Linked DNA regions of Caenorhabditis elegans. The protein of the gene in region 1 purifies or fractionates together with the protein of each later gene. This does not show direct contact. Each region holds a gene or a part of one and is shown in the gene's direction. Other genes may lie near its edges.

What was found.
Region 2: the proteins of puf-8 (region 1) and ccf-1 purify together in Caenorhabditis elegans (affinity purification with western blotting, with the first as the bait; 2 studies listed by BioGRID). This does not show direct contact.

Annotation. Positions count from the first base shown.
Region 1 is NC_003280.10:7,295,374-7,300,061, reverse strand, and holds puf-8 (PUM-HD domain-containing protein), read left to right. Parts: upstream 1-1,814; 5' UTR 1,815-1,832; coding exon 1,833-1,955; intron 1,956-2,088; coding exon 2,089-2,374; intron 2,375-2,420; coding exon 2,421-2,514; intron 2,515-2,560; coding exon 2,561-3,427; intron 3,428-3,471; coding exon 3,472-3,635; intron 3,636-3,684; coding exon 3,685-3,758; 3' UTR 3,759-3,947; downstream 3,948-4,688. Other genes in the region: C30G12.1 (uncharacterized protein), read right to left, coding at 70-178, 226-326, 375-491; C30G12.6 (uncharacterized protein), read left to right, coding at 4,047-4,329, 4,377-4,688.
Region 2 is NC_003281.10:11,918,328-11,922,333, reverse strand, and holds ccf-1 (CCR4-NOT transcription complex subunit 7), read left to right. Parts: upstream 1-2,096; 5' UTR 2,097-2,113; coding exon 2,114-2,242; intron 2,243-2,289; coding exon 2,290-2,574; intron 2,575-2,626; coding exon 2,627-3,145; 3' UTR 3,146-3,506; downstream 3,507-4,006. Other genes in the region: Y56A3A.22 (DUF1279 domain-containing protein), read right to left, coding at 173-637; trap-4 (Translocon-associated protein subunit delta), read right to left, coding at 928-1,032, 1,085-1,413, 1,548-1,593; znf-593 (Zinc finger protein 593 homolog), read left to right, coding at 3,621-3,746. UniProt on the Caenorhabditis elegans protein: Catalytic component of the CCR4-NOT complex which is one of the major cellular mRNA deadenylases and is linked to various cellular processes including bulk mRNA degradation, miRNA-mediated repression, translational repression during translational initiation and general transcription regulation.

The DNA of each region.
Region 1 (4,688 bases):
CCGTAATATTGAAGATTTACATTAAAACCAGATGGTTCTAACTATACACAATTGGAAAAAAAAACTTACTCGAACAATACAAGAATCCAACACCACTTCAATAGAATCATCATACCCTCCACAGAATTTTGGAATTGTAGGAAACGAGGCTTCGAAAGAATCAAATGAAGATGATGAACTGTAAAACGCTTAATTTTCAAAACAATCGAGAATAGAATGACAAACTCTTTGAATGCACTTAGATCATGCTGATACGAACTAAATATGTGTAGTTCGTGATCATTCAACTTTCGCTTGGAAACACCATGAAGGAATAGGGTACTGTCCTGAAAGATTTGGAAGATATTTTCAAATTGTTTTCTACGAATGCTTACAAATACAGCACATGCTGGTCCAACATAACCATATCCAGGTTGATATTCAGGTGGTGTATTTAGAATTAGGGCATTACCAATTAAAGGTAATATAAAATAATGAAGACTTTTAACCATGGCAACCAAAGGGTACACCTAGTCAAAGACTCTATTTGGTCGTGATGAGTTCAAGTTACGAAGCAAGAACAAAGATGGGACTGTGAGGAGACAAGGGGCGTCGCTTCTCGGCACACAAACTATGGTGTTGTTCCCACGGCCGGAAGCTGCTTTACACGAACCTTATGCAATCGGACGCTCTATGTTCGTACACACACACAATACGCTCGTACGATCGGCCAGCCTGCAACCTTTTTCGATGTGAGGCTTTGTTTTCCAAAATTAAATATACACAAACAGACAAAATCTAATTCTCGTTAAAGGTCAGAAAGGGGTTGGAATGGAGATGACAATGAAATAGAGGTGGGAGGAAATTTGATACGATGGCCGGCGAACGGACGGTCGGGAAGAAAAAAAAAAACTAAATTTGTCGAGAATCTTCACGTTGTTTGCTTTTGCATGCTCTACACACTTTGAAGTTTTTGAAACGGTCATTCGACTCCCGAGAATAAAAAGATGAAGATGTATATCCATTTCATTGTAAAGAAAGAATCAAAACGGTCAAGCTATGTTAAGCACAAAGCACATGGAAAATAAATTTAGAATATTCAATACTATGCATAACAACACTCATTCATACACTTTCTGCCAGTTCTGAAGAGTTGAGAGTGAGGAAATATCGACTTTGGAGCAGGTATCTCTGAGAGCACAAGTATATTCAATTGATCTACTTAGCATTTGATCTCCAGAAAAACGGAGATTAATATAAATGCTATGTTTACATTTACTGTTACATCTACACAGGGTCTTCACTAGGTCAGCTTGGGATTCGTATAAAATTAGGTCCCTGAAGAATTAGGTCTCGCCGCGAACTCGAATCACATGGGTTTTCAGAAAATACAGTACCCGACACCATATTGAAACTACATAATCCAAGCCTACTATTTTTTCAAAAAGTCGAAAAAAATGTTTTTTCTACTCTCCTACATGCCACGCCTCCTTTCAGCATATTACCTTTTCGTATATTAAGTTTTTCACCAGTTCTCCTTTCCATGGACTCTCAAGTGCGTGCGGAACCTCAATAATTTAAAGGAACATGCATTTAATGGAGAAATGGGTTTCACCACGAACACCACGACTACGGTATTCGTTCGAAAATTATCCGAATAAATACGGAACTCCTGTTCTAAATAGTGATTTTTGATTGTTTTTCATTGTTTTCTCATTTTAATGTTCTAAATTCTCATGTGCAACTATTTTAATTAATAAAAATAAATAAAGTACGCGTTGCAATTGTTTTTTCAAGCTGAACTATGCCTCCTTGACCTAAAGTAATTATTTTAGGGGTAATCTGCGTTCCTGATGAGTCGTCCGATTTCAATTGGGAATACATGCACATTTGATCCTTCAGCTTCTCCGATTGAATCTCTTGGGAGGAGCATCGGTGCTCAGAAAATAGTGGATAGTGTATGCGGATCTCCGATTGTGAGTCTTGTTTATTGCAATATTGAAATTATTTTTTATTTTGAATAGAAATACAATGTTCATGCAATAAATCACACTGATAGATTTGCCGCAGTGTTTGTCAATTAAATTTTCAATAAAACAATGATTTCAGAGATCGTATGGCCGTCATATTTCTACCAATCCAAAAAATGAACGCCTTCCCGATACACCAGAGTTTCAATTTGCCACTTACATGCATCAAGGAGGAAAAGTAATTGGCCAGAATACATTGCACATGTTCGGAACTCCACCATCGTGTTATTGTGCTCAAGAAAATATTCCAATCAGCTCTAATGTCGGTCATGTCTTGAGTACTATCAATAACAACTACATGAATCATCAATACAATGGTTCTAATATGTTTTCGAATCAAATGACACAAATGCTACAAGCACAAGGTTAGTAAAAACATATTTCGAATATGGAAATTCTCCGTTTTTACAGCATATAATGATTTACAAATGCACCAAGCGCATTCTCAAAGTATTCGTGTACCGGTTCAACCGTCTGCCACAGGCATATTTTCAAATCCCTACAGGTTTTTTTCTAAACTCAAAAATAGTTTAAATATTTGTATATTTCAGGGAACCAACAACCACCGACGATCTTCTAACTAGATATCGTGCAAATCCAGCCATGATGAAGAATTTAAAATTATCAGACATTCGTGGAGCACTGTTGAAGTTTGCCAAAGATCAAGTTGGCTCGAGATTCATTCAACAGGAACTTGCTTCCAGTAAGGACAGATTCGAGAAGGACTCTATATTTGATGAAGTCGTTTCCAATGCTGATGAGCTCGTTGATGATATTTTCGGCAACTACGTAGTGCAGAAATTCTTCGAATATGGCGAAGAAAGGCATTGGGCTCGGCTCGTCGATGCAATAATTGATCGTGTACCAGAATACGCGTTTCAAATGTATGCCTGCCGTGTTCTTCAGAAAGCTTTGGAAAAAATCAATGAGCCACTTCAAATAAAAATTCTTTCTCAAATCCGACACGTCATCCATCGTTGTATGAAAGATCAAAATGGAAACCACGTGGTTCAGAAGGCCATAGAGAAAGTCAGTCCACAGTACGTCCAATTCATTGTCGATACGCTTCTAGAATCCAGCAACACAATTTACGAGATGTCTGTGGATCCCTACGGTTGTCGTGTTGTCCAACGTTGTCTCGAACACTGCAGTCCTTCGCAGACGAAGCCTGTTATCGGCCAAATTCATAAACGTTTCGACGAAATTGCAAATAATCAGTACGGAAACTATGTGGTTCAACACGTCATTGAACATGGAAGTGAAGAGGATAGAATGGTTATTGTTACTCGTGTCTCCAACAATCTATTCGAGTTTGCCACCCACAAGTACTCGTCGAACGTTATCGAAAAATGTTTGGAACAAGGCGCAGTTTATCACAAGTCCATGATCGTAGGAGCTGCGTGTCACCATCAGGAAGGGTATGTATATTCATGAAAAATGTAGATATAATTATTTCATTCAGATCTGTACCGATTGTTGTCCAAATGATGAAAGATCAGTACGCCAACTACGTTGTTCAGAAAATGTTCGATCAGGTTACATCAGAACAGCGCCGTGAACTCATCCTAACTGTTCGTCCACACATTCCCGTTTTGAGACAATTCCCTCATGGAAAGCACATTCTTGGTAAGATATTGCAAAGAATGATTTAATAATATTCAACCTTAATTTGCAGCAAAACTTGAAAAATATTTTCAAAAGCCGGCTGTCATGAGCTATCCATACCAAGATATGCAGGGATCTCACTAGCCCAATCAGTTTTGTACTATTCCCAACACTCAACTCCTCACAAATGTACCTTTAGTTATCTCAAATCCGGTTGTTATACCGGTTCTTTTTGTTATTCCCTGTGCATTTCTGTAGACAGCTTATCGTAATTTGTAATGTTACTCGTTTTGTAATTTTTTCCTAATCTTATTTTAGCATAAAAATTTGAAAAAAAAGTTGTTGAACATTTGTTTTAAAGATGTTTATATATCTCCCTTATATATCTTGAATTACTTGAAAACCGTTTTCGCACAAATCTAAATGTTTGAGATGGAGTCTGGTGATCATCTCGGAAATCTTTTCGATGATATGGTAGAAGAGGATAACGATGAAGATAGTTTTGAAGAACCTGCGTGTGAAGACAGTTTTGATTCTCAAGAAGCTTCATCGAAAGCTAACGAACCTCAAAACGACAGTTTCGATGAGCCTATTCAGAGCTCAGTAAGTAAACAAAGTGATGATGCAAACGGAGAAGATGAAATTAATGAAGAAGTCATACAAGAACAGAAGGAGCTGGATTTAAATGAAGAGGACTTCAATCTTTTGACGATTGGTTTGTTTGTGAGTATATATAAACGTTATAAGACAATCATGTTACAGAAGAAGTTCCGTTGGATGTTCTGACAGCTCGTATAAGAAGAGTGTTCACCGAAGTCACATATAGAGCAGAGCCTGCAGCGATAGCACTTTTTGACGTCGCACACAAAATAATTTTCAAGTCAACTATGTTAGATTGCAAACGGAATACTGTTATTGATTCGATAATTGAAGGGCTTATATCGATTATTGTTGATGAACGAGAACGAGATCAAGGTGCTGAGGAGGCCGAGCATGTACTTATGATATTCATCGCAAAACTTGCAATTAAAAACAAGTCAATGAAGTGCAGTGATCTTCTATATAAGCTGATTC
Region 2 (4,006 bases), on another chromosome or scaffold:
AAAAATTAGTTTTTTCAATAAAATTGATTTCTTTACAAAACATGGTTTTTGTCTAAAAAATCGTGCTTTTTATACAAAAAAATTGGGTTTCTTCCGAGAAAATCTGTGTTTTTTCCAAACAAATTGTTATTTAATTAAAGTTTTCGAAAAAACATCTGAAAATCCTCCGAACCTTGTACAAAATCAGCGAAACCACCACAACTCCGGCGGTTTCGGGCGTATTTTTGACCTTTTCAACGATAGCATCCGGCATATGAAGCCATTCGAGCAATGAAATCACATCAACTCCACTTTTAACCACCAAATACAATGCGATAAACCATGCTGTACACGATGCCGCGTGAGCCGGCACAGCGATATACCAATATCTTTTAAAATAATATTTCACTTTTGCGAACAACGTTTTCGGCGCTTCTTCCGCCTTCATTTGCTCGATTTTCGCCGTTTTTGCGAGTTTTTGCTCCTCAGACATTGTCATTCTGAACATTTTCCATTTTTGATCGTCTGGCTTCTTCGGAGTGGGCTCTTTCTCGTGGAGTTGTCGACTTGTGTGCAGGAATCGTGAGCTTGATGGGGTCTGGAATTGAGCACAACAGATGCTCCGCGAGCATCGGATTATGGATCGAGCCAAAAGCATTTTGCCTGAATGAAAATTTTGGCCTAAAGGGGGTCTTAAAATTATCTAAAGTAAGTTTCCCGGGGATTTACACTCTCAACTCTTTAAACTTTTTTTTACGTCAGTCTAGCAATTAAATTTCAATTTATGGCTATTTGGGGGCTACTGAACTTATAAATACACGAATGGGGTGGAAAAAGGGGCAAAAATCAATAAATTACATTTTGTATATATAAATAAAAACAAAAAGAACAAAAACCCAGCACGCAAACGTGCGTTGACCAGTAATTTGGGGATAAAAACAATGATATTTAGTGGACAAGTTCGGTCTTTTGACGAATGGCGTAGTAAAGGCCAATGACGACGATGATGACGGCGACAGTCTCGGAAGAGATTGGAGACTTCGTGGCGAGACCCTGCAAAAAATGATTTTTAAAGATAATTATGTGAAAATGATGCAATTCTCACCCCATGGCTTTGTTGAACGGTGAAGAGTGGCTTGGTGACAGGGTTCTTGGCGTATTGAGCGGCTCCCTCCTCGTCGAAAATGTTAATATTAAAGGTTTGAGCTCCGGCGTCCTTGTGCTCAAGAGTCCATGAGACTTGGAACTTGGCGGTCTCGTCGGAAATCGAGACTGGGATAAGGCGACCGTTTACTTCAGCAGTGTATTGGATATTCTTCGGGTTGTTGCTGCATTGAAGTGTGAACTCGGTGATGAAGGTGGTTTTGTAGTGGAAGAATCCGTCGGTAGTGGAGAATGACGAGGCCGAGTACTTTGGCGACTCGCACTTGGCGCCTGGAATATTTATTGTTTTATTTGTATTAAATGTTAACAATCTACGCTTAAAATTCGAAAAATCGAGCCTTATTTTTATACAAGCCACACATTTGAATAATTTGTGTGGGAATTTATTAATTTTTCCAACTTACAAAGAGCGGAAGCGACAAGGCAAAGGGCGACGGCGATCTTCAGCATTATTACCTGCAAAAAAGTAATTAAATTCGTGTTTTGAAGAATTATCTTGTAAAATGAGTAAAATAGGCATTCTATACGTATTTTACTCGAATTTGCATCATTTTAACGCACAAAATTCATGTTTTTAGGGTAAAAATCAAGAAAATAAGTGAAAAATTCATTAAAAACACATTTTAATTCACTAAAACGATGTTTTCTCGACAGTTTCACGTAAAACAAACTCACTTGGCAGCTAGCCAGTTTGCAGTTCTCTCCCGTTCGCTGCGAGACCCACACCGCTGGGAAACTCCATGCGCCTTTAATGCCGATCCAAAATCGATCGTTCAAGAACTTCTTTTGCGCTTCAAAACTTTTGCAAACTGACTTTTTCTCCCGTTTTTCTGCTTTAAAAGTTTGCGGAAAAATTATTTTATTTATTTTATAAGCTATTTTCGATTTCTGTCCCATAAATTCGTTTAAAAAAATCGAAAATAAAAGCGTTCACTCTAAAACGAAAATTCTAGTTCCAGATATCATAAAAATGGCTTCTAGTAGCAGTGGTGGAGCAGGTGGAGCAGGTGGAGCAAGTGGAGCACCAGAAGTCAAGATTCACAACGTATATATGTCAAACGTGGAGGAGGAATTCGCGAGGATTCGAGGATTCGTCGAGGTACAGCCGATCGTTTGAATATTTTTAAAAAATCGGTTTTTTTTCAGGATTATCCCTACGTGGCAATGGACACAGAATTTCCCGGAGTTGTGGCGACACCGTTGGGCACATTTCGAAGCAAGGAAGATTTCAATTATCAGCAAGTGTTCTGTAATGTGAATATGCTGAAATTAATACAAGTGGGCTTTGCAATGGTCAATGACAAAGGAGAGCTACCACCGACTGGCGATGTTTGGCAGTTCAATTTCAATTTCTCCTTCGCTGAAGACATGTTCTCGCATGAGAGTGTCGAAATGCTCCGGCAAGCCGGAATAGACTTCACATTGCTGCAGGTTTTTTTAATATTGATTTTCCAATATTTTAATAATAATTTCTTTCTTCCAGAACAATGGAATACCGACAGCAGTATTCGGAGAACTTTTGACGACGTCAGGCCTCATCACTGATCCACGGATCACATGGCTCACGTTCTCTTCCGGCTACGACTTTGGATATTTGTTGAAAAGCATCACACTTGGAGATCTGCCTAAGGAAGAGTCAACGTTCTTCATGTGCCACAAAACTCTCTTCCCAACCAGCTTCGACATCAAAATCCTGCTCCGAACTCCAAATTGCGCGTCTGCAAAGCTGAAAGGAGGACTTCAAGAGGTCGCCGATCAGCTGGACGTGAAACGACAAGGAGTTCGCCATCAAGCTGGATCCGACGCACTGCTGACCGCCGCCACGTTTTTCAAGATCAAAAAGCAGTTTTTCGGAGACAACTGGAACCAGATTGCTCCATTGATCTGTGGACATATGTTTGGTCTTGGATCTTCGCTTTCGCTGTTCCATAGCTCCGGATCAACTTCTCGACTAGGCGATGAGACACCACAAGGCCTAATCGGAGTTCCACAACAAGCCTGAACAGATCTCTTTCCCGTCATTTTTCATGTGTCTATTTCTTTTATTTTTTTCTTCCTTTTTCCACCAAAAACCGTCTACACTGTTATTGTAAATTAGCTGTCTGTTTCGTGCCCTTCCCCATCTCTCACCCAAGTTTTTTGTGTTTTCACGCGCCCTATAATTTGTCTTTGTTATTATATCTCCCTATACTTGATGACTATACGCTTAGTTGTTTATAGGTGATCATTACTCTGAAAGTTCGATCTTTTTTATTTGTAATTTTCAGCAGCAGTAGAAGCTGGGCGAGATCGGGCGCCCCGTGTATCTTTTTATTTTCATTTTCCCTCCCCTATGCCCAAAAAAATAAAAATTTTCGAAATCTACTCGCGGAAACTTTAAATTTTCAACTAAAATAAGGGTTTTTGAGCCTGAAATTATCTTTTTCAGCTGTTTTGTCTAGATTCAAAGCTTAACAAAAGTAGTATTTCAGCAAAAAATGCCGAGCGGTGGACAGAGGAAGCACACGATTTCGAACAAGACACGTAAACGTCCCGGAAAGGATTTGGATCAAATCCATGAGGATTTGAAGCCTGAAAAGGCCGCCAAGCTTCTCCAGCAAGAGGTTTTTCAGATTTATTACTCGAAATAAACCCTTAGAATTCGCAACACTGCCGCACGGTTGTATTTTAACTGCTTTTCTACAATTTCGCGTTAATTTTATCAGGAAATCTGGCAAATAATCAAATTTTGCTGGAAAAAATGCTAAAAACTCGTAAAATAAAACTGTGCGGTGAAGTTGCAAAACTGCGTGCCGCGGCATTGCGGTGTGTCTCCGCCCTCTAACAAAGTTTCGTTTTTATTCATTTTATTCTCTTTTTTCGA